Pelodiscus sinensis: one gene and its partners. The protein of the gene in region 3 interacts with the protein of the main gene of each other region in a biochemical or structural test. Links are inferred from orthologs where the notes say so. Each region holds a gene or a part of one and is shown on either strand. Other genes may lie near its edges. The genes, in order: corticotropin-releasing factor receptor 1, HTR2A, MPDZ and KIT.

Evidence for each region.
Region 1: the proteins of MPDZ (region 3) and corticotropin-releasing factor receptor 1 form a complex in vitro, tested with the Homo sapiens proteins (2 studies listed by BioGRID and IntAct, with this or other methods). The link is inferred for Pelodiscus sinensis from reciprocal best matches to the Homo sapiens genes MPDZ and CRHR1.
Region 2: the proteins of MPDZ (region 3) and HTR2A form a complex in vitro, tested with the Homo sapiens proteins (2 studies listed by IntAct, with this or other methods). The link is inferred for Pelodiscus sinensis from reciprocal best matches to the Homo sapiens genes MPDZ and HTR2A.
Region 4: the proteins of MPDZ (region 3) and KIT form a complex in vitro, tested with the Homo sapiens proteins (2 studies listed by BioGRID and IntAct, with this or other methods). The link is inferred for Pelodiscus sinensis from reciprocal best matches to the Homo sapiens genes MPDZ and KIT.

The regions. Positions count from the first base shown.
Region 1 is NC_134739.1:4,617,556-4,625,375, forward strand, and holds the start of corticotropin-releasing factor receptor 1, read left to right. Parts: upstream 1-4,709; 5' UTR 4,710-5,113; coding exon 5,114-5,149; intron 5,150-7,820.
Region 2 is NC_134711.1:288,143,728-288,150,932, reverse strand, and holds the start of HTR2A (5-hydroxytryptamine receptor 2A), read left to right. Parts: upstream 1-4,035; 5' UTR 4,036-5,111; coding exon 5,112-5,583; intron 5,584-7,205. UniProt on the Homo sapiens protein: G-protein coupled receptor for 5-hydroxytryptamine (serotonin).
Region 3 is NC_134716.1:23,689,553-23,696,968, forward strand, and holds the start of MPDZ (multiple PDZ domain protein), read left to right. Parts: upstream 1-4,245; 5' UTR 4,246-4,568; intron 4,569-6,088; 5' UTR 6,089-6,169; intron 6,170-7,416. UniProt on the Homo sapiens protein: Member of the NMDAR signaling complex that may play a role in control of AMPAR potentiation and synaptic plasticity in excitatory synapses. Promotes clustering of HT2RC at the cell surface.
Region 4 is NC_134715.1:85,355,047-85,362,713, reverse strand, and holds the start of KIT (mast/stem cell growth factor receptor Kit), read left to right. Parts: upstream 1-4,562; 5' UTR 4,563-4,735; coding exon 4,736-4,808; intron 4,809-7,667. UniProt on the Homo sapiens protein: Tyrosine-protein kinase that acts as a cell-surface receptor for the cytokine KITLG/SCF and plays an essential role in the regulation of cell survival and proliferation, hematopoiesis, stem cell maintenance, gametogenesis, mast cell development, migration and function, and in melanogenesis.

The DNA of each region.
Region 1 (7,820 bases), on a different chromosome or scaffold from region 3:
GAGGGACAGCTAAGCAGTCCTGTCTCGGAGTGCCCTAAGTGCCCGCACTCAGGACACCACAGCACTCGGCCACATGGAGCCCTGGGCATGTCGGTGTGTCTTGTGGGGTCATTGCCATCAGCCCAGCTGCACTTGCTGCAGGCTGCCATCCGGGGAGTCCATCGGGGGGCTGTCAGGATCCAGGAGGCCCTGCGGGAGCCCTCAGAGCCACACTGAGGAGCCCTCAGAGCCACTCCAGTCCTCCCCACTGTGGGGCTCGTGCCCCATTCCTCCCTCACATCCTTCCATTTACCCCTTTCTAGCCCCCCTTCCTGATGTCAAACAAAAGACACGTATGTTCAAAAATAGAAACTGGGTTTATTAAACAAAACTTGGGGGGATGAACCTCTGGGGAGACTGGGAAAAGGAGGTGGGAGGGGGAAGAGAGAGGGTGGGAGAGGGGAGGAGGAAACCTGGGAGGAGGGAGCTGGAAGGGGGAAGCCAGGGGAAGAAGGGGGAGGGGAAGCTCAGGGCTCAGGGTTGGGGGATCTCGCCGGACCAACTTGATTTTTGTGCAAACCTGCTCCTGGGTTCGCATGTGGCCTTTGGAGGCCAGGCTGGCAGCTATCCTCCATCTAGTGCAGAGATCATGGACATTGGGGGCATCCCCCCCAAACCTGAATAAGGTCCATGATCTCCACCCTGGACCAGGAAGGTGCCTGCCTTCTCCAGCCCCTGGCAGGCTCCTGGGAGCTGGCAGACTGGTCCTGGGGAGCGGTGGAGGGCTGGCTGCCAGTGGCTTGCTGGCTTATATTTTGGGGCCACTGGATCAGGGGCCCCAGTCGCCACTGCTGGCTCTGGGCTGGCAGGCTTGGAGTTGGCACAGGCAGCTACCCATTTAATGGCTCCGGGGCTCGGGGAGAGGAGAGTAAGTTTTCCTGGTTGTGCCCAGAGTGGTCACCAGGGCTCCCTGGGAAGGGCTGGAGGCCCCCTATTTCGAATTAAGTGTCTACACAGCACCTAATTCGAAATAGCTATTTCGAATTTGGCGTTATTCCTCATAGAATAAGGTTTACTAAATTCGAATTAAGCGCTCCGCTATTTCGAATGAATTTCGAAATAGCAGTTTGCATGTATAGACGCTATTAAAGTTAATTCGAAATAACAGCTGTTATTTTGATTTAACTTTGCAATGTAGACATACCCTGAGAGCACATGTAACCTCCTTACACCGTTATTCTCCAAACTGAATCCCAGGGAAGCAATTCTCTGTGGGGTTTTTTCAGTTACTTTTACTGTTACTTCAGTTACTCTTACTGTTCTCTTACTTTTTCTCAGTTACGCTGTAACATCTAGCAACCAAGTAAACTGATGAAGTGGGTTGTGCCCATGAAAGCTCATGCTACAATATACTTGTTAGTCTCTAAGGTGCCATAGGACCGCTTGTTGTTTTTAGAGTTATGTACTAACACGGCTACCCCCTGAGACTTTCAACCAAGTAATGTTCACCAAGTAAAAACTTACTTGTTTTGTTGATAAAAATCACTTGAAGATTGTGATCTGATTGTGTCTAAAAGGCAAGAGGTTCTGTGTGCACATGCCTAAGACTGCATAGAAAAATCACAGGGTTGGTTGTTTTTTTTTCAAGCTCTCACCAGAGGGAAAGTTAAAGAGCTTGAGGGTACTTCACAGGAAGAAATTCCCAAATGCATCTTCCTGGGTTCTCAAATTTGTTTATTTTTTTTTTTGTATTTGGGTGGTGGCAGCGATACCCATCCAAGGCCAGGGATTCTGTGACCTTGGAGAGTTTTTAAACAGAAGTCTTTACTGGCATTTGGCGAGGTATTTTAAAGTCTCTTGCGGGGCCCACCTTCTGCATTCAAGTGCCAGAATGGGGAACAGCTTTCACAGAGCCTACGCTAAGGGACTTAGTCAAAAATCTAAACCTAGTCGGCATTTCTACCTAGTGACCAAGGATAAGGGTCACGGTCTCTTGTGGCTGTGTAATTTAATTCTGAAATCCTACATGGTTATATTGACCAATTTTCTAGTTGGCATTAGCCATGTCTTAGTCCAAAACATAAAAATATAAAAACAGCCAGACTGCATCAGACCACAGCTCCATCTAGCCCAGTGGCCTGTCTTCCTACAGTAGCCGATGCCAGGTGCCCCAAAGGCAATGAACAGAACAGGGAACCATGGAGGAATCCATGTTTGCCTTCTTATCTCCTGTACTGTTCATTAACTGTTGTTATGGGTATTTTACAAAACGCTATAAAACTAAATTCAACTCTTGAGCCCTTTTCTTTAGTTAAGCAGCTGAAATCAAAAGAGCCTTAAGAATGGGGATAGGAGGAATCAGGCAAGCAGTTGCTTTACTAAGGCTTGGTTTCTATCCTATCATTCTTGCAGTATTACATGAGAACATAAGAATGGCCGTACTGAGTCAGACCAAAGGTCCTTCTAGCCCAGTATCCTGTCTGCTGACAGTGGCCAGCACCAGGTGCCCCAGAGAGGGTGGACTGAAGACAATGATCAAGCGATTTGTCTCCTGCCATCCTTCTCCAGCCTCTGACAAACAGAGACCAAGGACACCATTTTATCCCCTGGCTAATAGCCTTTTATGGACCTAACCTCCATGAAATTATCTAGCTTCTCTTTAAACTCTATTATAGTCCTAGCCTTCACAGCCTCCTCTGGCAAGGAGTTCCACAGGTTGACTACGCGCTGTGTGAAGAAGAACTTTCTTTTATTAGTTTTAAACCTGCTACCCATTGACCTCCTGTTTATCTGTCCAGGATACCCAGGGCTACTCCTGCCACAGTAATTGGCAGGAGCAGTGTTTGACTGAGGGGGAACTGCTGTTGGAACTGACAGGGAATCTGCCCTTTCTGCTGAGGACAGGGGCGGGAACACTCAATGATTGGCTGTTTGGTTCATTCCCAAAGAAGCACTTGGCATTGGCCACTGTGGGACTAGATGTGCCGTTGGTCTTACCCAGTATGGCTGTTCTTATGGCCTCTTGCTTCTGCTGGAGGCTGACTCCTGGCACCCCAGGCTTCAGAAAAAAGCAAATCCCTTGTCTTTGGAGTATACCCCGAGAACCAGGTGGTAGTAGGACGGCAGCAGGGGGGCAGGAAGGCCTAGTGGACAGAACACTCAGGACTCAGAAACACTGAGTTCCTTGCTCTGGCCTTTTGGGTAATGTTGGGCACGTGTCTTCACTTCTCTGTACCTCACTTTCCCCACCGGTAAAATGGGAACAATAATGCTGCACTCCTTTGTAAAGCACCTGGTGCTCTATTGGCCAAAAGCAAGAGATTTGCTCAGTCCCCAGCAAACCGGGGGCGAATGTCGGCACAGACATGGCTCCCTGAGCCCCTTTTCACTGGCTCTTCACTGGCAGGTCTATTCCCAGGGAATCCCCCTGGGGCAGGCACTCCTCCAGCACCCTACCCAGCCGTGCAGCCGTCCTTCCACAAACCGGTTCAGGCAGCTAGCGCCGTTGCCCACCGAGGCCTGCAGAGTGACATGGGAAGCCGCAGTGCAGGATGCTGGGTGCTCACCGCAAGGGGACCTCAGGTCCCACTCAAAGTGATTTACTGGCAAGAAAAACACAACAGTGCAGCAGCCCTGGCACTGCCGCAACCCCCAGCAAGCTACAGGGTCTCTGAGCATCAGAGAATATCCCCTCAGTCCAGGCAGCCCAAGTCTCCTGGCCCCAGGAATTGCAGCCAGGCTATTGTATTGCAAGGAGCCACTGCTTTAGTTGATTTTATAAAGGCAATCCCTTCCTCTGCCAACCTCCTCAGTCCAGGCACCTTGGGCAGCAAGGAACAAAAGCCTCTGCCTACCAGGTCTGTTCCTCCTGGCCTGGAAACAGCTTGAAAATTATAGCCTGGGTGCTGGACCGCCAAGAAACAAACCAAGGAGCTATTTTGTCCTGGCTCTCTCCTAGGGACTCCAGGGAAAGTGAGAGGGGCCCTGGAGTGGCAGAACGGTCTAGCAGTTAGAGCAGGGGTGGTTAAGAATCAGCACTTTTAAATTGCCCCCCCCCCCCGGCAAAGTCACGACTCTTGTCGCTGCCTCTTGCCTCAGTTTCCCCAGTTGTACGATGGGAATAAAACACGCTGATTTAAATCCCGGTTGGAAGCGCACTGGAGTCTGAATTCACAGGACTCGCTGAGGCGCTCCCGTGTCCAGGGGTGCGAGATGGGCCGCGTGCCTGGCCGGAGAGCTGCGGCTTCACTCCGGTTCGCTCAGGGCTGCCCCGCACTGAGCCCGCGGGCACCTGCCGTGGGCAGCAGGAGCTGCCAATATTTGCTGGTCCTGGGGAAGGGCACAGCCGCGCTGGGGAGGGCAGACAGGGCGCACCGTCCGGAGGAGGGAAGGCGCCAGGGCGCAGTACCACCCCCGGAGCACCAGAGGCGGCGGCCGGCACCGGAGTGGGGCAGGCGGCAGAGCCTCCGCCGCGCACCCGGGACAGCTCCCCACTCCGCACCCCCGCCTTGTCCCGCCCGCTCAGCGCCCCCGCCCCAGCCGCCCGCTGCATCCTGCGCCCCAGCCCCCCGTGTGCGCCCCGGCGGGGCTCCTGCCCGTGCCCGGGGGCTGCCCATTGCAGCGCTGCAGCGGGGGAGTTAAAATACCCAGCCCGCCTCCTCCCCGGCCTCCGGCAGAGCCCCCCGCCCCGCCCCGGCTCAGCCTCTGCAGCACCAGCCTCGCTGCTGGCCGCAAAGCACCGGCCCCCTTAGGAACCGGCGAGAGCGGAGCCGCTGGCGCGGGCGGGGCTGCCCTTGGCTGGGCAGGTGAAGTGCCGAGGGCAGAGGGGGGCTGTGGAGGAGGAGGAGATACGCCGGGGGGAGGCTGGAACCCAGCCCCATCCGAGCCGGGGAGCCGGAAGGCGGCGAGCCGGGCAGCCCGAGCGCAGCAGGATTATAAAAGGACCGGCCGGGGGCTGGCGGCGAGAGCCGGGGGCCAGCTCCTGCTCCCGGAGAGCCCGCTCCGCAGGCAGGCTCCTGCCAAGCAGACCTGGCTCCCTCCCCGCTCCTCCGCGACACCAGCATCCCCGAGCAGTGCGGCAGCAGACGGGCCATGCCGGCCGGAGCCCGGCCAGGGGGGAATTAACAGCCCCAGGATGGTGCTGCGGCCAGGTCCGAGCCTCGCCCTGCAGGTAAGAGCCGGGCTTTGTCCAGGGACCCCGCTCACTCGAGCGGGCTGCATTGGCACAAGCTGCGCCGGGGGCGCCTCTGTCCCGGCCTCGGCACTTGGGGGCGAGTTGGCGATGTATCGAGCCCGCAGCAGCGCGCCATGCAAGGAGCCGCGGGCGCTCCAGCCGGGGCAGAGCGAAGAGGGAAGGCTCCCGGGGGTCGTCCTGGGGACGCGGTCTGGGGGCAGCCCTGGGAGAGGGCGAGCCCCGCTTGCTCCGGCAAATCCCCTGGCGCGCTGCTCCGCGCGGCTCCGGCTTGGTTCCCCGCGGAACCATCTGCTCCCGGCTTCCCTGAAAGTGGCCGCGAGTCGAGTCCCCCGCTGCCTTGGCTGGCTGGAGCCGGCAGGGCCCCTACCGGACATGCCCGCCCGCTTTCCCCGCTGCACCGGCCCCGGTCCGAGGGATACTTGTGGGAACACATCGAAGCTGGAGCCGCGGGCGGGACAAGCCGTTGCCTTTCCCCCGGGCGAGGTGCCGGGTTCCGCTGAGAACCCAGACCCAACCCACACGGTGCCAAGGGGGGGGGGGGGGGTTCGACGAGCACCCGAACATTTTTGGCAAACCCCGGCGCGGGGGTGGCAGAACGCGGCTCGCTCTGGGCCGGTGTAGAGGGGACCAGCTCTGTGCAGCCCGCTGAGTTCCCGGCGGGGGAAAGCCCGCAGCGGCCAGAGACAGTCCGCAAAGGCGGAGGGCTAAGTTCGACCGGCCCTCTGGGCGCAGCGGCGCTTTGCAAGCTTGTCGGTTGTGCGACAGAAGTAATTGCAGACCCTCGTGTTACCCGGAAAACCGGGGCGTCCAAAGTGCCAGCAGCGCGGAGCATTGGGAAGAATTACTCGGAAGTGCTAACGCGCGCCAAGGGTGCAGCGCGGTTCCACGCTCCTGCCTTGGATGAGCCGAGTCTCTGTTGTAGTCGCTGTGCTACCGTAATGCTGCATGAAGAGAGCTCTCGCGCAATGTTATGGTCGCACCATTCGTGGTAGGCTTTGGATTTTTGAGGTTGTTTTTTTTTTACAAAAATCATGGGAAATATTGTCTGTTTCCAGTTAGCGTTTAAATGCTCCTCTGTGTTTTCCCCGTCTTTGAGCTCAGGAAGAACTGCCCCTTTCCTGTCACTTCTGTCCACACCCTTGTCCAGAGCCCCTCTGGGGAGTTCATCCCAAACCATTTGAAGAGATCCCGAGCAATTGACCAAGTGGGGCAGAGGGATGAAAGTGGAGTAGAGGGCAGCCTTAGCTAGGTCCGGGTCTATACTGTCTAGGTAAACTGATAAATAACACACCAGATCCAGCACAATGAAATTACAAGGCAACACACTTCATAGAGTCTGGCAATGGAGGGGAAGTTCTGCACCTGTGCTGAGGCAGAACCAGGTGAACCTAGAACCTAGAATCATGGAGATTCGCCACAGGCAGGATTCCATATGGTTTGTGTCTCTGAGCGGCACAGCTGCTCGCAGTTCCCAGTGGCTGTGGTTTGCCGTTCCTGGCCAATGCGAGCTGCAGGGATGTGGTGGCCCAGCCCACAATGCTTTCTGTGGCTCCCATTGGACACTGGGAGCTGCAAGTGGCCTGGCTAACACATGCCCAGTTAAGCAACCTGCCTGGCAGCCGGATGAGCCATGTCTGGCATGTGGGCTGCAGGGTCCTGTGGCTGACCCAGAGCATCTCTAGACCATTGGGTTCTTCCTTCCCCAGACCTGAGGAAGATTCTGAGTAGCTTTGATGATGGTCCCTCCCTCCAACAGAAGTCGGTCCATCCTCTCCCCTCTTGTCTCTGTCGTAGCCTGGGGCCAACAAGTGTTTATCCAGCTTGTTCCTTAAAACCTGCAGGGATGGAGATTTCACAACACCTCTTGGAAGCCTGTGCCAGAGATTAACTATCCATATAGTTAGAAAGATTTTCCTAATATCTGACCAAAATCTCCCTTCCTAGGATCCGGTTTAGAGGGTTACCTGAACTAACACACCTCTGATGAATCACATTACACTTCCTTCCCACACTTTATTCTCAGCACCTCCCATGATTGACCTAGGAGGGAAGCCTGAAAGAATTGGGCTTGTTTAGTTTCGAAAAGAGGAGATGGAGTATAAAAGGGTGTTATAAGGAGGAGGGAGAAAAATTGTTCTCCTTGGCCTCTGAGGATAGGACAAGAAGCAAGGGGCTTAAATTGCAGCAAGGGTGGTTTAGGTTGGACATCAGGAAAAACTTTCTGCCTGTCAGGGTGATTAAATACTGGAAGAAATTGCCTAGGTGGGTTGTGGAATCTCCATCACTGGGGATATTTAAGAGCAGGTTGGACAGATATCTATCAGGGATGGTCTAGAGGGTGCTTGGTTCTGCTGTGAGGGCAGGGGACTGGAGTCAATGACCTCTCAAGGTCCCTTCCAGTTCTAGTGTTCTATGATATTCCTCCTACTTGGGGCCTCTTCGGGGAAGGGCTGCTACTATTCTCAAGGGCAAAGAAGTCATAGCCTCTGTGTCTCTCAGTCCTGGGCAGTCTTTGCAGGGCTTGGGAGACATACGAGTCCCTCCTAGACCACAACAGAGTGGAACAGAGATGCCGCTGCTCCAAGTGGCTCCAGAGTCAACCAGGGCCTCTGTGTCATTGAGCCAGCCTGAAAAAAAAAAAAGAGAA
Region 2 (7,205 bases), on a different chromosome or scaffold from region 3:
TGAGAGACAGGGTGAAATAGAAGTATACAGAACTTACAAGCAAGTCATTATATATTAAATCATTATGTATCATACTTATATTCTTCTAACCAATACTAAAATAAACATTTTTGTTACAGATGGAGGGGAAGCTCATGCCTCCTTTCATTCTCAGGTCTGCCCATCCTCAGACACCATTGTGTACTGCCTTCGATGCTCCTGGTTCAGACCTTTTCTCCTTCTTCAGTGTTTCTGGCCCATTCAAAGTAGCACTCTGGCTAGCGAGCTGAGCCTTTTCAGATACAGATACAAGAACTTGCCTGAAAAGGGAAATTCATCAGCAAAGCTAAAGCATAACAACTATTATGCTATTGCTATTCTGATATTACTCATTTGGGCTCACACTTTATTCTGGAATAAAAGTGACTTTATTCTGGAATGATTACTCTGTTTTTATTGTTCTACAACTGTGCTGGTCAATTTCATCATGTATACAAAACCCAAGAGGTCATAAACCATAACTGAGGACTGAATGTGAAGCAAGAATATATACATGTCAAGCAAATAATTATAGAAAGTGCATACATAAAACTAGACTCACTTCTTTTAGAAATGAATTCCCAGAACAATAATAAAAAAGAAAGCTCATTAATATATAGCCCTCCAAGATGTGCGTATAACTACCTAAATACATTTCCTTGTACTTCCTCTTCTTTTTAAACTTTCTTTTTAGTTTGTTAGGTGTCTTGTCTCCTCTTAAATTTTAATATGTTCACTGCAGGAACTGGTTGGGGAGGGGGGCTAGGATAACCAGCACACTTTTTGAGGTATATAAATAACAGAATGTGGAACAATCTATCAAGTCAACATTACAAATAGTGTACATCAATCCAAAATGCAGGGAGTAGTGAATCATTCGGGACAAAGGAATATCTGATCCAAAATTTAATCCATAATTAAATAAAACCGATTCAAACATTTGGGGTTGGAAGAGTTTATTTAACTTCTTGTAGGTATGTATTTTCTGCTGCATTTCCTGGTTTCAGACAAAATTAGAAGAGGAGGAGTCAATATCCTATTACAAAGAGTGTTTATGGGGTATTTGTGGCCAGGCTGGAAGTGTGACTAGCCAAAAACCTCATAAAAATGTTCTCATATGAATTGGAGTCCAATTATATGAAGAAAAGAAAGCAAAACTTTAAGGCCTCTTATGCAGTAAAGGGGAAAGTCAACTTAAGATACACAACTCCAGCTATGTTAATTATATAGCTGGAGTCAAAGTATTTTAAATTGGGTTTTGCAATGTCCAAACAGCGGAAGGTCAATGGAAGCACACACTTGTATTGACTTCCCTTACTCCTTGCAAGGAGCAGGAGTACTGGCACCAACAAGGGAGCACTCTCAGTTCAAATTCACACCCCAGAAGATCGACTGCAGCTGTGTCCATCTCTGTAGTGTAGTCAATCCCTAAGAGTACTTTTTCTGAACTGAAACATCTAACCTTTGATGATCTCCCCTCAGTACAAAAGAAAGAGGAAATAAGGTGTTTAGGGATACAGAAACTCACTACACTCTGGAGATTATGGCGAAGACATATCAGTGCTATTTAACTATTTGGTTTGATTTGTAATTGTAAGAATTTGTAATTCACAGCTATCAGTTCTCCACAACAACAGGAATAGACTGCTCCAACAACCACTAATAAAAATCATAATAAATCCCAATTTAGTAGCAACCCAGATCAAAGTAAAAAAGCCTCCAAATGCCACCCACACCTTACCAAAATATCCAAGAAAACAGATGGGTTTTGCAGCTGTAGTCAATACTGTAAGTTTATTGCATAGATTTAAAGTAAGAAGGGCTCTACTTTTAGCTGAGTGGAGCCATACGTGCTGGAACTAGGGGCACTACTGCACCCCCTGGCCTGAAGTGGTTTCCATTATAAACAGAACTTGCAGTTTGGTTCAATGGTTCTCAGAACCTCCACTGTGCAAATTATTCCAACACCCCTAAGTGGAGGTTTGCTCATTTCAAAATGAATGTTTACATGTTCAGACCCTTAGCTTCCAGAGGTTACTCTTCTGTATGAAACATGAAGGTTGCCATACACTAGAAATCAGTGAATTCTATGTAGTCCTTACAACACAATTTGGCCTCTATTACCAGGACAAAATATAGGCCCAATTTCTGAAGGATGAGCGTCTCCAAGAAGTGCAAGTACCCTCGATTCCATCAAGATCCACGTTAACAAAGGCTCTCTGTTGCCACACGGGAACAGTTCGCATGATTTTAACAAATGTAAAGGAAGCCAGAGGTCTTCAGATAAATAATCTAAGTTATCTTTAGATTCAAAATCTAAAGAATCCTTCAAAAAGAAGGGGGAGTTCAGAAAAGGGCAACTAAAATGATAAGGGGTTTGGAACGGGTCCCATATGAAGAGAGGCTAAAGCCACTGGGACTTTTCAGTTTAGAAAAGAGGAGACTGAGGGGGGATATGATAGAGGTATATAAAATCATGAGTGGTGTGGAGAGGGTGGATAAAGAAAAGTTATTTATTAGTTCCCATAAAAGAAGAACTAGAGGACACCAAATGAAATTAATGGGTAGCAGGTTTAGAACTAATAAAAGAAAGTTCTTCTTCACACAGCGTATAGTCAACCTGTGGAACTCCTTGCCAGAGGAGGCTGTGAAGGCTAGGACTATAACAGAGTTTAAAGAGAAGCTAGATAATTTCATGGAGATTAGGTCCATAAAGGGCTATTAGCCAGAGGATAGAAGTGGTGTCCCTGGCCTTGTTTGTTAGAAGCTGGAGAAGGATGGCAGGAGACAAATCGCTGATCATTATCTTCGGTCCATCCTCTCTGGGGCACCTGGTGTTGGCCACTGTCGGCAGACAGGCTACTGGGCTAGATGGACCTTTGGTCTGACCCAGTACGGCCGTTCTTATGTTCTTATGTAAAATGAGGATCAATACATTCCCAGTGGCACTTCCAAACAGGGAAGTGGGAATGAAGGGTCGTCTTGGGGCTAAGATACTGGGTTATGACTTAAAAGAGCTGAGTGCAAATTAGAGCTCAGCTACAGGCTTCTTGTGCAACCTTGAACAAAACACTTAATCTACTCTGTGCCTCAGTCTCCCTTTTGTAAAAAAGCATGCTGTGAGGATAAAATTGGTCCATGATTGTAAGGCATTCAGATAGCATGATGATAAAGGCAAGGTAAGAACCTAGATAGAAGAAGGTGAAGGAGCTCAGTCTTTAGACAGAGAAGAGTGGGGAGAGATGTTTTATATTGGTAAGGTTGTAATTGGCCCTAACAATGGGTAGCTTGTTTTATTGTCAATATAACACATACATTATTCTCAGTTACTCTCAAACGTCTCATTATCTGTTAGCTAGTTTTCCCACAGGCATCCTGGCACCAATGTTACAAGGGAATAGGCAATAATCCTGGAAGAGCATTTATTTTCTCTTCTTCATTGAGATTGTGTTATCTGATTGGATTACTTCACTTAGGATGCTTCTCTTTCACACAGCTTATTGGGGTTAATTGTAACATCATGCTCTTGACAAATTAAAAATGACATCCAGGTATATATGCAGTATGGTCATCAGGAGAGTATATATGTATTATAATATGTTACAAGTATTATATTTATTATCAGAAGATATATCTTGGCAAATTGTTTATGACATCAGTGAAGAGCCAAAAATAAAATAATAAAAATCTAAATGTTAGTAATTCATCTTAGGGTTAGCATAAAAGCTGCAACCTTTAGGATAGAAAAATCTGCATGTTTACAATTTTACCAGCATGTACCATTGCAAGGCTTATTTATTGCCTTTCTTAAAACTTCACCCTGTGAAATATTATCAGCACGTGCAGCTGCTTTGCCCAGCATCCTTTACAAACGAAAATCATAATTAAAAAAAAAAAAAACCCTAAGCCCTCAAAGTGATAAAGCGAGAAAGCTGGGTTTTATGTATAAAAAAGACCCTATTTGGTCTGCCCTCTTTTGCTGTTGCTACCTTGCAGTTTATGACATCTAGCTAGTGGGAGGTCTGACAAACTGAACAAGGCAGTGAGCAAGAAATTACATTCCTGTTGAAATCAGTAATCCCTTTGTGGAGACTGCTACGTCTAGTTTGTGTGATTTCTTTCGTGTCACTTGGAGGTGGGCTCTATGGTTATTGTTATTATTTTAAATATAGCTTGGGGAGGGGGGGATGCACAGGAACAGAGACAGCAAGCTGCCCATCTCTCAGAAGAAAAGAACAAGATTCACAGCACAGGAACTGGCATCACTCTAACATACAGAGTAGAAGTCAACAAAGCTGTACTCAAAATCATTTTTGTAGAGACTGAAAAGAAAGAAGACAAAAGTGGATAACACAGTAAAGGATACAAGAAATCAGGGTATAAAGTGACTCTAATGCACTTTGAGTGTGGGCTCTGAAGTACAATGTAAGTCTTGCCTTATCTTGTATTTTTAAAAACTGTTAGTACATAATAATTTTATTTCTATTTTCAAGCCATGCTGGGCCAAAAAGTAATTATTACAATTACATATTAAAATCAATATGGAACATTACTTGTAATCTTGGTATGAGACTTAAAATGATATTGTCATATGACAGAAGTCAGAGACTATCAACTGTAATATCGAAGATGAACTATAAGTAACAACATATCTAATTATTGTGAGACTAAGATGCTGAATGGAATCTTTAATCAACTTTCTTAATACAGAGTGCAAAGAGTTCTCTTGCTTTGTATAGCAAGCTACTTTCATACTGCTGTGTTTAAAACTGTGTGATTACAGTTACCAATAGCAATAGGATGTAGCTACAAAAGGGAATCCTGGTGGATGCAAAAGTTTTTTGGCCAATGTTTTTCCTCTCTGAAGCCTCCAGTCCACATTTTCTAGCCTGTGAGTTTTGCTTTTCAACTGGATTTTTTAACATATGCAGCGATTGGACTCCAAGTGGAACTGAAAACAAAAGTATCTGAGGATCCAGAATAACTCCATCCATTTTCTCAGTGTTATGTTAAAGATGAAAATACAATCAATCATAAAGAGTACCTCCTTTTCATCAGCTTCAGCTTTGAACAACAGAGGAATATAAAGCCTGATGGTGACAAAGGGTTATAATTTTTTGTTTTTTCACTGTACATCTGCCCCGGTTTCAGACTTAGCAATGGATAGTCTTTGTGATGAGGAGAACCCAACTGTGAATTCTTTAATCCAATTAAATCATGAAAGAAGATTCTACAAAAATGTTTTTTGGCCTGGAGAGGTTAATACATCTCATCTGTTTAATTTGACTATGGACTCCGAAAACCTAACTAATCTTTCATGTGACGGTAGAGTGACTCCACCGTGCCATTCCTCACTATTTCATCTTTCAGAGAAAAACTGGCCAGCTCTGCTGACAGTTATTGTGATTGTTCTAACCATTGCTGGAAATATTCTTGTTATCATGGCTGTGTCACTGGAGAAAAAGCTACAGAATGCCACTAATTATTTTCTAATGTCACTCGCAATAGCTGATATGCTGTTGGGTTTCCTTGTCATGCCTGTGTCAATGTTAACCATACTGTATGGTAGGTATCACTAGTCTAACCTATTACACGTATTGAGTAGCTTTTAAAAAATTGTATGCGCACACTGTTATTATTTCAGCTTGATAAGGAAAATGTAAATATATGCTAGTTTTAGGGTATTCACTTGCCACCTCCCTATGCAAGGTGAAAAATAACTATAGAGGTAAATGTATATAAAGAACAGATGAAATATGTATGTGTTTATTAACTTTTAACTTCTAAGAATGGACATTTTAAACAGTCCAAAGTGGCAATTTACCACTTTGATTTTTATGGAATTGTTTTATAATTTCTCTTTTGAATCAATGTTGTCTTTGACACAGTTTTCAGTGTTTCTATTAGGGAAGTAACTTCCTGTCAATTAATTTCCTCTGCAAATATGCAAAGAAACATTAATATCTTGATACTCTCTGTTTAAAATAGCCTGCCTCTACTTATTTTTTTATTTTTTTAAATGAAGCATTGCAATTTTAAATAATTTTCTTTCCACTGTGATCTTTATTTATATGTTTATCTTTTAAATTTCATTAGCTACTATGAAATGTGGAAATAAGTGTTTCTTAAGGAGGCTGAAAAGTGAATAGAGTTAATGGTACTCAACTGCTAGCAACATTTACCAATTAACAACCAAAATATCAAGACATTTGTTTTTTATTCTAATGAGTAGTTTGAAAATGTAAACTGAATTGTGACACTGTTTATTGTGATAGGTATTGGAAGTTTGTCATTTTGATCAAAATCCTTAGTAATCCCTGTTACACAGCAGAGACGGTTGAAAAGCAGCAGCCTAATAGTTTTTCTTCAAAACTTACAAAACTACCTATTGCCATAATACAAGAAGAGAAGAGCTATGAGATTAAATAGCTTTTAAGCCTGTTTCAATAGGCTAAATCATCCACCACTAAACTGTAACTTTAGGATGATTTTATTAGGAAACAGTAATGTAAGAGTATGCTGCTTTTTTCACTTTGCCTGTGTGTTGCAGACAAACTACCTCAATGGTATTATCACATTAGGTTAGTAATTGGCATGGGACTGTGACTGATTTTATCAGTAGTATCATTACCTTTGGTAATAGGGAAGCTAATCCAAAATAGTGCCATAGAAGCAGTAATTGCTTGTTTTGTGAGATAAAAGTGAAAGACTCAAGCTCTGGATGGTTCAATGACACATGCAATAGGGACTCCTGCTGGCCAATCCCTGCCCCTGCTCAGAAATTCATAAGGAGCACAGAGCTTCACCTCCTTCTCCTGGTGTGTGAAGGCTGCAAAAGTATGAAGACATTCATTTATTTTAATTGTAGTATTTACATGGTCAAATGCACCCTTACTACACACACAGCGATAGGAGGGCAGCTGCATGGTCACTGCAAAAGAGAAAAACTCCATTCTCTCCATTTGACAGAGGAAGGACTCTTGGTTTGCTTCTGTTTTTCTCTCCTCTCCCCAACCCATTGCACTGCAATGTCTTTTGCCAGAGGAACAATGCCTTTCCAGGATACATGCATTTGAAAAATCACTCTGTCATTCTGGCATAAGCTTTCCTAGAAATGCAGCATTAGCCTGATACATTATCAGTATCACAATGACCAGCAAATAGTTGATTCTAGAAAACCCTCCCTC
Region 3 (7,416 bases):
AGAGCTGTACATTAACCAGAAGCCTTAATTGCACTATTTACAATCAACTCAGATTGCTTTCCTGATATAATTAATTTAGAATATTATAAGGTATCTGAGTAGTTAACATCTTTTCTTCTGAGGAAAATGCTGTAGTGGGTTATACTACCAACCACTTTCAAAACTGGCAGGTAGAAATCACTAACTGGTTCTCGTGATCACCACATTCCTATCTGTCCTCATGAGCTAACCCCTGTCACCATAGTCTGTCTTTCTGTCAACCTTAACATCCCCAGGAGTGGTGATCAGTGTGTGAAGATGTATCAGCCTCCTTTATATCTGTTAGGAGGAATGCCCCATCTCAGTGGTTCTCAAAATGTGGTCTGTGGAAAACTAGTGGCCTGTGACCATCTTGCAAGTGAGCTATGGGCTCAGGGCTTGTTCCCCCTCCCCTGCAGCAGGCACTCCAGCCCAGCGCCAGCTTCCTGCTGTGGGTGGGGGCGCCATGAGCCTCATGGGCTGGATCCGGCTTGTGGTGGGAGGAAGCAGCTCCACACATTGCTGCTCTCCCTCCCCTCTCCTCCAGCTGGGGGAATGGCAATGCAAAAAACGGCTCATCTGGAGGCTTTCCCCATTGCTCCCATTGGCTGGAATCCCAACCAATGGGAACAGCAGGGGGCAGTTCCTGGAAGTGGCAGGAGGTACAGAGCTAGGTAAGTACCCTCATCCCCCTTATGCTCAGATTCCACACTCCCATCCCCCTCACTCATCCGCCTCATGCTGAGACCCTGCTCCTGGACTAGGAATGTTAGATACCGTGTAATTGAATAATTGTGTAACTGCATCAGATTTTTAGATAGTTCCCAGGGGCAGGGCTAGCAGCTAGTGCACTCCCAGCTCCACTCCCGGGGATCCCCCTACTACCCTGTGCTGCTGCCTCTGTATCAGAGGCTGCAGTGTTGGTGTGGCAGTAGCCCTTGTCTGTGGTAGAGCGCAAACTCCCCATGGAGCAGCCTCTGTCTGCGGCAAGTCTGGGCCTGCCGTGGACAGAGGCTCCTCTGTGGCAGCCTCCCCTCTTCCTCTGTGGGAAGCAGCAAGGGGAGAAGGGATGCATATAGTCAACAGGATTAATCTATAAGGCTTATCGGTTAATCATGTAGTTGACTAACGTTGACATCCCTATCCTGCAGCTCCTTTCCTTCCAGATCCCTCATCCCAGCCCATTCCTGCACCCTACCTCCCAGCCAGACCCTGCACCCCAGCCCACTCCTGTACCTACTTTGTCATATGGGTGGTTTGCTCCTGGTCCGCAGAAAGGTCTGCATTGAGCGGAGTGGGCTGCAGAGCAAAAAGTTTGAGAAGCACTGCCCCAGCTGGAATGGGACACCTCCATTCCACCTGAGTGCCTTTCCTGCATGGGCCTCCACTTTCTCAACTTGTTTTTTATTTTCTGCTGAAAATTCCCCCCCTCCCACCTCTGCCCTCTTATTATTAACCCCAAAGCTTTGCTACAAAAAGATAGCATTTGTCCCCACATCTCCCATTTGCAACAAATTGATATGGATTTCTAAGAGGAAAAAGCACAAAATGTGTAGGTCTAATAGGAAAAAGGAACACAATTTGTAGGCTAAAAATTAAAAACAAAAAAATCCCCCTGCCAATAGATAGGTTCAACTGATTTTATTTGTAATATTGCTTGAAGGATTTTGGCATTTATTGATTTACTTGATGAGATACACAAGATTCCTGACCTTGCTCAATTTGGTCTAGTTACTCCTTAATTTCTGTTCAAGGACAACTACACTCCCCAAAGCACAAACACCATTCCCAGTTAGCACCACCTAGGATGTAAGTGACCCCAAATTTTCTGTGGAGGTGATGTCCCTACCCACATTGCTGCTACTGATTAGTGTAGCTGACTAGCTGCAGAAGGGAGTGCATGCTGGCTTCTGTAAGAGATGGTACCATGAATGTTGAAGAGCTCCTGGAAGCATTCTTCTTTATCAAGGCACAGTGCTTCTTGGCCACAGATGCTTGGCAACTTTTCACTACCCCGATATCGAACAGTCATTAACAAGTTCTGCTCCTCTGTTTCTATTTTTCTGCAGATAGTTTCATGTGATTAATATTTCAGATAGTAATTATACAAGCAAACAAACTTTCTTTTACTTTTAAAAATTTGCACAAACAAGAGTGTGCAAAGTGCAGAATTGCCAGGGAATTTATAAAAGCCCAGTAGAGTATAGAATCATCAAGGTGACAAATATAACCCTGTTAATTAATTTAAAAAAATCAGTGGACAAACTGGAACACAATAGACCAAAGAAATGCAATCTTTTGTCATGGAAAATCCTGGAAACCCTTTTAAAGTATCAGGTGGGAAAATGCCTGGAAAAAAAGAGTGTGATTAAAACATAGCCGGTATGTATCCAAACAAGTTAGAAGGTCATGCTTAACTAAACAACTGGAGTTCTTTTGAGTTTTGAAGATTCTACAGCCATAAAAGATAAGAGAAATCCAGTAAATGTAGTTTTTCAAAACATCTGTGCAAGGTAAAATCTCCCTGCAAAGATGCAATGTAGGACTCTGGACAAGAAGATGTTTTGTTTTTGTTTTTTTTAATGAGACAAAAAGACAATCTTTCAGGTTGTAAATGTTATGAGTTTATTATCATGGCTGTATGCGTAGAATCTCTGTTGTACAGGATACAAGTAATACATGTATCTAAAGGTCAGTGTTTTTTTACCTGCATTTGAGCTGAAGAACACAATGGTGTCTCTTATTGATATAATGTGGCAATGTTTAAAAATCAGTTACATTTTGAAGAAGTAAACCAAATCAACACAAAAACAAGCAAGTCAACATAGGGTACCAGCCCCTAGTCTACTGCAACATGACGTATTCAGCAGTGTGAGCCAGCCTTCTTTCTGGCACTATGGATGCTACTGCAACAAAGCTGCTGGCATAAACAGGGAACAAGAGGTGATTTCTTGGCATTAGATAGAAAAATGATGACTCTAATGATAGTTACTAAATAAAAAGTGCGTCAGAAAGCGAAGTGCTCAGCAAATATAAATTAATTAGCATTTTTATGTTGAAAATAAATTTCACTCAAATTTCACTTATTCCATGTATTTGTATTTTACTTCAAAGGTGTTTGCACAATACAATATATATGCTTTTCATTATGGTTTTTGGCTATTGTTTTATATTCAAATAAAAACTTTAAAAAATCCCCTTTCCTTTAGTTCTAAAAAAAAAAATCAAGTTTTTTCTTTTCCTTCTCTGTTCAAACCCTGAACAAAAAATATCCATTTCCCTGAACAAACAGCAGTATAATGCTTCTATCTCACCCCCATATCTCCATTTTAGACAGGAAAATCATCCACAGAAAACTGCAGCACACAAGTGGAGCTGCAATAATTTAAGCAGTCTTTCTGGAATTTATAAAAGTGTGGCCTCAGCAAGAGATACAAGATTAGGGAAAAATCAAACATAGGAGTGATCAAATCTATTTGATGGTGGAACTGTCTCTCAAAGGATACAGAGGAAGGAACCACTCAGGACATTTCAAAGGATAGGATGTGAAAAAAGCACTTTTTAAAAATCTGCTAAACTTCCAAGCAAAATGACAGATTAGAAAACACGACTTGTGTCTTTTTTCAGTTGTATACATTTTACAACACTTGGTAGAGTCACAGGCAGTGTTCCCATATGTACACAGACATGTTTGTGCTCTTCTCAGAAGGGGAAGACATTTTAAAAATAGGAAAATGTGGCTGCAAAACTACAATCACTGGTAGGAAAGGAGGCGGCTCAGGAGCAGGTCTAATATCTGAACCAAACTACTATAAAAAGAGTGGAGTGCAAGTTGAGGTCCCTTTAGCGTGGAAAGAGAACAAGATAAGGGCTCTATAGGGAATAATGCTTAACAGCTGGGACCCCGGCGGGTAACAGATCAGATTGGACCGAGTTTTTAAGAGGCCACTAAAGCCCCTCTCTTGCGCAACCCCATAACTGTGTGGAGTGTGTGTATGTGTGCGGGACAGGGGTCTGAACGTGCTAGCTCCGCAACCTCGCTTCCACACGCAAGGTAGCGTGTTGCAGGGGCCAGCCCTCTCCCCTCCCGCAAGAAGACGTGCTGGGGGCGGCCGAGGCCACTTTTTTTTTTTTTTTTGCAACGGTGCTCCCGAGCAGCGCGGCTCCGAGGCGCCCTGCCTAGCAGCAGGCCGGCCGGGCTCAGGGCATAGCAGGGAGCGCGAGGGCCGCCAGTGGGGCCCCTCCTGTTGCTGTTGTCATGGTTCCTTCTGTGCAGCCGATTCCTACTCCCACTTCTGCGGGGCTCGGCTCAAGAGCGCCGGGTAGCTGGGAGGAAGGGGGAGGGGGCGGCTTGGCGTCTGGCCGCCTGATGGCTGGGCCGGATTAAGTTTCATGGTAGCCTCTGCCTGTTTATCCTGCACCTCCTCGCGGGCCGTTACTTGGGGGGGGGGGGGGGGGGGGGAGTCTGCAGAGCCCGGCCAGCAGGGCTGCAAGTGGTCTCCCCCAGCCCAGCCCTGGCTCGGCGGCGAGGCGCCTGGAGCAGCAAGCGGGTAAGCGGAGCGCGGCGGCGAGCCGGGGGGTGCCCGCAGGGTAGCGCTGGCTGCGCCCGGGGAACGTTCTATGGGTGCCCGGGGCTCTGCGCTCAGGGGGCAGAACGGGGGGGGGGGGGGAGGCATTTCCCCTCGCCCTGAAACCGGGTGTAGCCCGATAGTCCCGCTCCCCTGCGCGGGAGGGGCCGGAGCTGTGGCCCCTGGTTTTGCTGGTTGGAGGAGGAGGAGGGGCCCGGGCGCCACAAGGCCTTGCGCTGCGCAGGGGAAGCAGCCGCTCCTGACGGGCTGAGCCTGTTGCTTCTTTGCCGAGCTTTGGGGCGGGCGGCCTGGCTGGCGGGGGTGGGGGAGAAGTTGGGGAATGATGCTCCAGCGCCTGTGAGGGCTGCAGGGCGCGGCCCTACGCGCGGCGAAGGGCTGCCTCCTGGGCGCTGTTGCACCGACGCCGCCGGTGCTGGGCCAGGCGAGACCTCGCTGGAAACAAAAGCCACGTCTCCGCAGGCTACTGCAAGTCGCGGCTGCCGTGGGCATGTTGTAACCCGAGCCGATCGTAGCCCCCTCCCCACCCAGGTCGCCCCGTGGGCTCTGCACGCACAAGCCCTATCTTTGCAGACGATACCGTGTTAATCAACCCCCCCCCCCCCCTTTCAACATGACAAAGCCAGATCTCCAATGCCAGGTGTCAGCGAACATGTTGCCTGGACTAGACAGACGGGGAAATTGCAGGTTATGAGGAGCCTCCTCCGTTCACACCAGCAATTTCACAGCAGGTGTCTTCGCCCTCCTCTCCTCTTCCCCTCCCCGTGCTCTAGGTCTGCTGGGAAGAAGATCACATGTGAATCTGAAAAAAAAAGTGTAAATGATTCTCACTGAAAGTGCGTGGAGGTGAAGAGGAAGGGGGGGTTGCTTTGATTTATGGTGGGGTGGAAGAGCCTAGTAATGTTCAAATCATTCCTCAAATTCGTGTGATTGTTTGTCTTGGAATGACTTGGTTAAAAAAGAGAACCCTTCTCTCCTCCCCCACTCCATTCCCCAGTTTAGTGCTTTTTGCCAGGATGTTTACATGAGAGACTCCATGAAAACTGAAGCTGAAGACTTTGATGGAGTTAAAGTCTCAGAGGGGTATATGTTAGTCTGTACCTTAAAAGCAAGTGGTCGTGTGGCACCTTACAGACTAACAAAAATATGTACATGGTACCATGAGCTTTCGTGGGCAAAACCCATTTCTTCACAAAATGATCTTGAGACATCAAGAGGCCACAAATGGTTGCATTATCTTATAAATCAATTACATTTAGGGGTGGGCAACTTCTGGATTCCAATTTTGATGGAATTTCAGAAATGTTGATCTTAAAAACGTACTTATTTGAATGAACATATAGAGATATTTTTCCAGAGGATTATGAACAAGGGCCAAATTCTGCCGCAGACACATTTACCCAGTGAGAATTGTATAAGATAACAGAAGATAGAATTTAGCCTTGTGTCCTGATAACTTTATTTTGTTTATTATGTTTACCTAGGTTTATATGCTTTTAAACACTTGAGAAGCGGATACTGATGACATAAGTGTGGAATAAACAGTAACACCTTTTGAAGGAAAGGTAACATGTTTCCACGTTTTTTTTTCATATTTCCAGTTCATGAGATGCAGCCATTACTTTGCTGACTGGTCTTGTGATGCATTTCTCCTTCAGTTTTAAAAATAATACATCATTTAGCAGTAGTATATTTGATCCATATTACCCACAACCTGTGGAAAAGAAATTGTTCGTTTTGCTGGGATTTCTTGTAAAGTACGAGGAACGTGAAGGAGAAGAATAGCAAACCTGTTCCATGAAGTTTTGCTTTGCAGCAAGAACAAATCAGGGTCTATTATTGCTATTTATTTGTATTACATAGGAGCCTTAGTCCTGGATTAGGACCCCAAGGTGCTGGATGCTGTACAAACAGAATCAAAAGATGGTACCTGCCCTGGAGAGCTTACAATCTAAGTAATATCTGTAAAGCCCAATCCTGCTCCCACTGGAATCAGTGGTGAAATGTCCTTTGATTTAATTTGTATCAGGACAAGATTCAGTGCATTACTCTATCACTTCTCAAATGGACAACTTGTGAATGGGGGAAAAATTAAAAGTAAAAATGGTGGAATGTTAATTTAGAATCATGATTTGCTTTGCTTTTGGAAAAGAAATGGGTACAACATAGCAGAGAAAAATAGTTGAGCTTTTAAAGGTTTAATTAAATATTGTGTCTTAAGAAAATGAGCTTCAGTATTAATATTTGTTATTGAATGTCTCACTTTGCATATTATAGGTTCCCAAAATTGTCTTGATTAGCCAAGAAATTATGTGAAGGGAAACTGGAAAATTCCATTTTGTTATGCAAAAAAGCATCAGTCACTTAAAAGAAAAAAATCTTGGACATCTTCGTTAGTAAGATAGAGAAGTCTATGCTATTTGTAGTGTTTAAGTTTAATGTGTCTAAGAAAATAAAATTTTGAAATAATTCTGACTATATTCATGTATTCTGTTAGTGTTTAAAATACATTCAAGAATTTGGTATCTAGAATGTGTGACTGTCATTTTTATTTTATAGTTGTCTGGGGTAGTTAATGTTTAGTTGTTATAGCTGCTATGCTTCGTTCTGTAAGGAAGAATGGTACAAAATGCATGCTAGAGTAGTTATATAGTGAGAAAAAAAAAAATGACTAACTTATATAATGTCCCAAACGTGGTCAGATAAACATAATAGCAAAACATTTCTGAAGAGTTTTTCTTTCAGCATCCTAATTTAATATAGACAGAGAGAGAGAGAGCATGCACCCACAGTTACCTACCTACTTTGGTCC
Region 4 (7,667 bases), on a different chromosome or scaffold from region 3:
GGTAAGTGGAAGGAGGTGAGGGAGGAATGGGGTACGAGCCCCCGATGGGGAGGACTGGGCTGGCTCTGTGGGCTTCTGGGCGTGGAAGCTCTCCTGCAGCCCCCCGATTGCCCCCTCTCCCCAGATGGCAGCCTGCGGCAAGTGCAGCCGGGCTGATGGCCGAGTGGTGTGATGTGCCCAGTGTGGGCACTCCGGGCACTCCAAGCCAGGACTGGTTTTCAAGCAGGGCACCCCTGAGAACTGTCTGTCCGGGGTGGGGGTCGGGTCCCTTTAAGCACAGCCCTTGGCTAGCCTGAGACAGCATCTCCACGCTCTAAGTCCTCCTCTGATGTCCTGCCCGCACTGCTTACGGCCATCCTTAAGCCCTGTTCAGGGTCCACTTAATGTGGACATGCTAGTTCGAATTAGCAAAATGCTAATTCGAACTAGTTTTTAGTTCTAGACGCGTTAGTTCGAATTAGCTTAGTTCGAATTAGCGCTGTAGTGTAGACGTACCCTTATTCTTGTGATGTACGTCAGATCAATCAAAAGTTTTATTATTTTATTGAAGTTTATATGCAGATAGAAATGTCCTCTCCCAAAAATGTAATTTAAAGAAAATACCGGAGGAGTTGACTTAGTCTCCCTGGGTATGTCTACACTACAAAGTTAATTCGAACTAACGAACGTTAATTCGAATTAACTTTGATAGGTGCTACACTAGCGCTCCGCTAGTTCAAACTTAATTCGAACTAGCGGAGCGCTTAGTTCGAACTAGGTAAACCTCATTGTACGAGGACTAAGCCTAGTTCGAATTAAGGGGTGTGTAGCCCCTTAATTTGAACTAGTGGGAGGTTAGCCCTCCCCAGCTTTCCCTGGTGGCCACTCTGGCCAATACCGGGGAAACTCTATTGCCCCACTCCGAGCCCCGGAACCCTTAAAGGGGCACGGGCTGGCTACGGTGCCCGTGCCAGGTGCAAGCCTGCCAGCACCCAGCCAGCAGTCCCTGCACTTGGCACGGCTTGAGCCAGCCACCCGATGTCCCCCAGGCCTCCCCCTCTTCCCGGGACCAGGCTGGCGGCTCCCGGGACCTTCCCCAGGACCGCAAGAGTCGGGCACCCGCCTGGTCCAGTGTAGACATCGTGGACCTCGTCCATGACCTCCGCACTAGGCACAGGAAAGCGGCCGTCTAGGGCAGGAGAGCTGCCAGCCTGGCCACCCAGGAGCAGGTTTGCATGCAAATCAAGGTGGTCCACTGAGACCCCCCGACCCTGAGCCTTGAGCTTAGAATGGCCGTACTGGGTCAAATCAAAGGTCCATCTAGCCCAGTAGCCTGTCTGCTGACAGCAGCCAACCCTAGGGATCCTGGAGGGGATGGACCAAAGACAGTGACCAAGCCATTTGTCTCGTGCCATCCATCTCCAGCCTTCCACAAACTTCGGGCAGGAACACCACTCCTACCCCCTGGCTAATACCACTCCATGGACCCAACCTCCATGACTTGATCTAACTTCTCTTTAAACTCTGTTCTAGTTCTATCCTTCACAGCCTCCTGCAGCAAGGAGTTCCACAGGTTGACTATTTGCTTTGTGAAGAACAACTTTCTGTTATAGGTTTGAAGCCTGCTACCCATTCATTTCATTTGGTGTCCCCTAGTCCTTCTATTATGGGAACTAATGAAGAACTTTTCTGTATGCACCCTCTCCACCCCACTCATGCTTTTATAGACCTCTATCATATCCCCCCTCCATCTCCTCTTTTCTAAGCTGAAAAGTCCCAGTCTCTTTAGCCTCTCTTCATATGAGACCTGTTCCAAACCCCTCATCATTGTAGTTGCCCTCCCCTCTCCCACCCTCTCTCCTCCCCTCTCCCACCTCCTTTTCCCAGTCTCCCCCAGGTTTGTTCAATAAAGAAAGATTCTATTTTTGAACACAATTGTCCTTTATTTTGTACATCAGGAAGGGGGGCTAGGGAGGAATAAGTGGAAGGAGATAAGGGAGGAATGGGGTACGAGCCCCCAATGGGGAGGACTGGGCTGGCTCTGTGGGCTTCTGGGGGTGGAACCTCTCCTGCAGCCCCCCAATTGCCCTCTTTCCCCAGATGGCAGCCTGCGGCAAGTGCAGCCGGTCTGATGGCCAAGTGGTGTGATGTGCCCAGTGTGGGTACTCCGGGCAATCCAAGCCCGGACTGCTTTGCAAGCGGGGCACTCCTGAGAACTGTCTGTCCGAGGTGGGGGTCGGGTCCCTTTAATCACAGCCCTCGGCTCGCCTGAGACAGCAGCTCCACGCTCTAAGTCCTCATCTGATGCCCTGCCGGCACTGCTTCCGGCCATCCTTAACCCCGGTTCAGGGTCCACTCTGTGTGGACATGCTAGTTCGAATTAGCAAAACGCTAATTCGAACTAGTTTTTTAGTCTGGATGCATTAGTTCGAATTAGCTTAGTTCGAACTAAGTTTGAATTAGCGCCGTAGTGTAGACATACCCACATAGATTTAATCATCTTTGTAATTACTTATTTAGATTTGTAGACATGCAAAACATTTGGTCTGGAAGAAATCCCAGTAGGATTTTTCATGACCTGTAACAGAACCTGTATCCAGAACAGGATGTAAAGGTCTGACTTGATCTCCAGCAAGAAGTTAATTCTTTACTCAGACCTGACACAGAATGGAAGGAAGTAGCAGGGCTAGTGTTTGAAGGCCCCAATCAGTCACGGAGGAAATGATACAAAAATACACCTAGAAGAGGCAGAATGCTTTTTGAAGGCAGAGTTCCACAATCACTGTTCACAAGACTGAGCTGTAAATAAGATGGGTTGTTTCTCTATATTTTCTTGTTATGCTAAGCTATATTGGTCTTTATACACAGTATCCTCAGGAATGAAAAAACCTTGGGGAAGAATAACTTTTTTGCAAATATTTTCAAATTCACTGCACTGGGTTACTAACTGAAATGTCTTACTACAACCTTGAAGAGGATTTCCATGCTCAGAGGTAACAAAGGGGAAAGTTACAGTACCCTGCAGTTTGTAAGAACTAATCTATTTTCTTAATATAGATTGCAGACTATAAACTCACAAAGGTTTTATCAAGAAGTTTAGAACCTTTATTTTCTGCTTAAGAGTCCACTGAAAAGACAATTTTTATAATAGAGTATCATGTATGTAATAACACAAGACATATCTTTAAGAATAGGATATAGTTTTTATAGATCCAGTAAAGACTGTATCTATGCACTTGACATCTGATGCTGGAAAACTCTTTAAGGACTAAAATGGCAATATCGCTTTAAGATTATAGGGACAAATGAATTTAAATATGCATTTTATAGATTAGATATATAAGGAGTCTGAGACACCCTCTTCCTCAGTTGGAGTGAATAGACATAAATTGAAAATATTTTGCTATTAAAATGCCCTCCAAAATTAGTTTTGAGGTTGACTCCTGGTGAAAAATGTGATTTTAAAGAATGCTATTTGATTTTTTAAATATAATATTATTCAGTTTCCAGCTATCTACCAATAGAGACCAGTGTTCTAAGATGAAAGTAGAGAAATTGAGACAGCCATTTTATACATACAAGACAAAGACAAGACTTTGATCTAAAGACTGTCCTGCCCAGATGGGAGGTTAGAAGGAATGACAGTTTTAGAAGGAAAAAAAGAAAAGAAAATGAATAACTTATTTTCAATAACTCTTCTGATCTTTACTGACACACTTGAAAGTAAGCTCACATTGATTCTAAAAACTTAACCTGTCTCCCTCAATACATGCGGATGCATAATAAACAATATTTTAGGGGTTTCAATTCTCTTTAGCTTTTTGACAGTTTTCCTTCACACGGCCCAATTGTGTCTTTTCTCTCTCTGGATGTCTAACAACATAAAAAAGTTATTTCCGCATGGGAGTGCCTTATAGAAATGAGTAGGATGTTGTCTGGGTTATCTGGTGCTGAGTGGAATTTCAGTGCTGTTAAACGTGTCTGTTTATGTATACACATGATCTGTTCGCCAGCGTGTGTGTGTACGTGTGTCTATACCTTTGGGCAAGGATTCTCCCCTCCCCTTTTTTTCACGGCTGTAGAGATATTTGATCCCATTGTATGGCTCAGGTTCTTTCTGAAGGGAAAGAGGCTTTGTTTAGCTGTAGCTCTGCTTGTTAAGGAATGAGTTCCCCCTCCAGAGCCCAGTCCTGCCCAGCGCTCCCTGCAGGGTGCAGGCTAACCCTGGTGTGGAGAAGCCCCATTACCTACACAGAGGCTACACGCAGGATTGATGCCGATTCCATAACCATATCCCAGTGGCCCTCCGTTTAGCGAGTGTCGGGGCTGGAAGCTGTGACCAAGCTGCCGGCTGGTCGCTTCTCAGTGCAGCGCAGCGCCCCGCCGCTGGCTTTAGGCGGGCTCCCGGGCTGCTCCCCGCGCTCCGCAGCGTCCGAGAGCTCGTCCTGATAACGTGTGAGGCCCCTCTGGCTGACACCCGGCGTCACGCGACACCGAGTGTCCGACCCGCCCCCCCCCCCCCCAGCCCCCTCGGGCAGTGGCTCAAAGGGAGGGGCCCGGCGGGAACTGGATGAGCCTGACTGGGGGAGCCCAGCCGAGACGCCCGAGCGAGCAGCGGCCCGGGCCGGGGGGGCGTGGCTGGAGGAGGAGCAGGTTGGCGGTGGCGCTGCGCTCCCTCCACCACTGCCGAGGCTGCCGCTGCCGCGGTGTCTGAGCGCTCCGGAGGCTCGTGGCAGCGCCGGGCGCGAGGAGCAGCATGGAAGGGTCCTGCCTGGCCTGGGAGCTGGCGGGCGCCGTGCTGCTGCCGCTGCTGCTGGGCTTTCCAACAGGTGGGGCTGTGCCGCGCGGGGGCTCCGCGCTCCTCCGCCTGCTTCGTGCGCGGGGGGGACGGTGCATCCAGGAACCGGGGAGGGAAGGGGCAGCACGCACCGGCTTCTCCGCTCCCTGCGCGGGGCTGGCAGCGCGGCCGGTGTGGAGGAGTTTGGGGATAAAGGCAACTCCTAATGCACCTCCGCCTGGGCCGAACTGAACAGCCAGTAGCCGGCGGAAAACACGTCAAGCCGGCTCCCTCCTTCCAGCACCTGTGCGCCTCTCTGCCGAGGCAGAGGAGAGTGGCGGCCTTGCCTATCCCCCCCCCCCCCCGGTAAAGACACCCCAGCTGTGTTTAGTGTGAAAACTCTGGCTGCAAACAGTCGGAACAGCGGGTCGCACGGAGGGGCAGGTTCCTCCCGCTATTCCGAAGTCCCTCCCGCTCCCGGGGGCTGGGGCTTTGGCTTTGTTGCGCTGCGGTGAGTGCTGCTGCCCTGCGTTTCAGTTGCAGGAACTTTGCGAAGCTTTGCTTAGTTTGGCCCGCCAATGAGTCGCTTGAGCGCGAGTTTTGGAGACGCGTGAGCAGTGCTTTCTGCTGGCAGAGTTGCATTGGTTTTGGAGGGGCAGCAGGGTAGCCTGAGAGCTACCGAAGTGTCTCATTGGGGGACTGACCAGGGAGTCAAAATAATCATTGCTGTTGAGCCAGTGGAATCCGCATTTTTGTTCATATTCCCCATTCGAGGTCTGGCTGCGCGCCCCGGTAGAGGTGCTGCCCATAGTCAGGGAAAAGGGGCGGTAGTTAATCCAGATTTGTTCCGAGAACTGTTATCTGCCGGGGAGAGGGGTTTTGCATCTGATTACTGTTTTGTCAGTAAAACTATCTCTCCATCAGTACAAAACGTCCCTGTGGTTAGATTGCTGTTAACCGAAATAGTAACGAGAAATGCTTCCAAGAGCCGCAGTCCGGTGTAGCCCCAGTGGCGAAGTTGTAAGTAAAGTATAGCAGACCTTTTCGTGCGGTCGCTGATTTCCATCTTTTTTTCTCCCATTTAACTGCTCTCCGGAATGAACCGTTTCATGGCTGAATTTAGTAGCGCATCTCCTAGTCAAAGTGGTTTTGCGTTTTGTTAGTCTTGTGCGAGGCAAGTTTTTCATCTGTTCTTTCCCAGTAAGAAAACCTACCAAACCCTCTTTTGAAGGAGGTTGTTCTTGTACCGGGCTTGTGGATTTTTAGGTCCTTTCACCCATGCCATACAGGACTGTCCTAAAGAACTGAATTGATGGTAATTGAACCAATGGGGCAGCACCAATGCATGTTTATCATGCCATTGTCATGCTAATATATTGCCCTTTTATTTGGACAAGTCACTCCGACTTGGCATTTAGCAATTCCTGTCACCTTCATTCATGCTAAATTTTACCCTATTCTGCAGGTAGTCCAGCTGAAGTACACGGGGGTAATTTGTAGCGGAAGGAATGTAGTCAATTCCGAAAAGGTTGCAAAATCAGTCTCAGCTAGCATATGTGTGAAACCTGAGCAGTTGCCATCATCTGGATTTAAATTGTATAGAAGGTCAGACAGTGTCAAACCCAAGTCAAATTACCGATGTCATCTGTCAGTGCAGTAACTGCAATATGTCAGGCTGACAGAGATGAGATTTCCCCATCAAAATATTTAATCAAAAACATGTAGGAGAGAAGCTATCAAATATTCTCAGAGACACAAATTCATCCCTAGGATAACTAATGGTTTATAGGAGTTGCACCAGGGATGAATACAGTTCACCATTTGTATGAGCACTGGAAACCTGACAATATAAAAAAGCTAATGGTGGAGGAAAGCAGTGGATGGTGACAAAACATGAGTGGTGATGGAACTCAGTTCTAACAATTTTTTAAAGAAGTGGTCTTGCAAATAACCCTCTCTGGCCCAGCGATTCTTTAATTTGTCCACAATGGAATGAGATAGAGAGACAGACAGACTGACTCTGTAGACATGGATAGTGCACTAGGAGTGGCAGTCTCTCTCATGCCGTTCACTGAATTTTACAGTTATTTAGCCACAATGGAAAAGCTTCAGCAGGACCGAGTAAGAGAGATTTTCCTATAGCTCAGTGGTTAGGGCACTTAGTAGCAGACTGCTTCCCCTGGAAAACTTGAACCATGAGTCTGCCATATCCCAAGTGAGTACTCTAACCACTGGGCTAAAAATTATGAGAGGGTTGTCCTCTTGCTGCCCTTTTACCCTCAGGCTACTTAAAAAAATGGCATAGGTGCCTGACACCAAGAGAGGGGTAGTAGCTGAGGGCTTGTCTACACTAGGAATGTTAAAATATGTGTGTGTGTTTTGGTAAACATGTAACTTCTGAAATGTTCAGTGGCTACACAATAACACATGTGGGGCGGGAGAGACAGTTTCATGGGAGCCAGCTTAAAAATCAGCTCCCTATGCATGCTGACTCCTGCCTGCCCCCTACACTGCTGCCTCTGTATCAGAGGCAGCAATGTGGAAGGCAGGTAGGCATCTCTCTGGCTGTCAGTGTTGGCTCCCTGCGAGCGCTGGCTCCTGCCTGCTCCCCCTACCAATCAATGTTGCTGTCTTTGTATCAGAGGCAGCAGTGTGTGTGGGGGGGCGGAGGGCATGGCAGCAGCACGGGAGGGAGCTTATGTGTAACCCTGAAGGTTAACTGATGAGCCTAGGCTCATTGGTTAATGTACACAATCATATCCCTAGTCTACACTTACAGTGCTGTCGCTGCACTTGTGCAGGCTGCTATGCTGCTGAAGCACTTAGGAAGCTTCTCCCATCAGCCTAGAGATATGTAGCTATGTTGATGGGAGAAGCCACAACCCTGAGCAAGTTAGTTTTATCGACATAA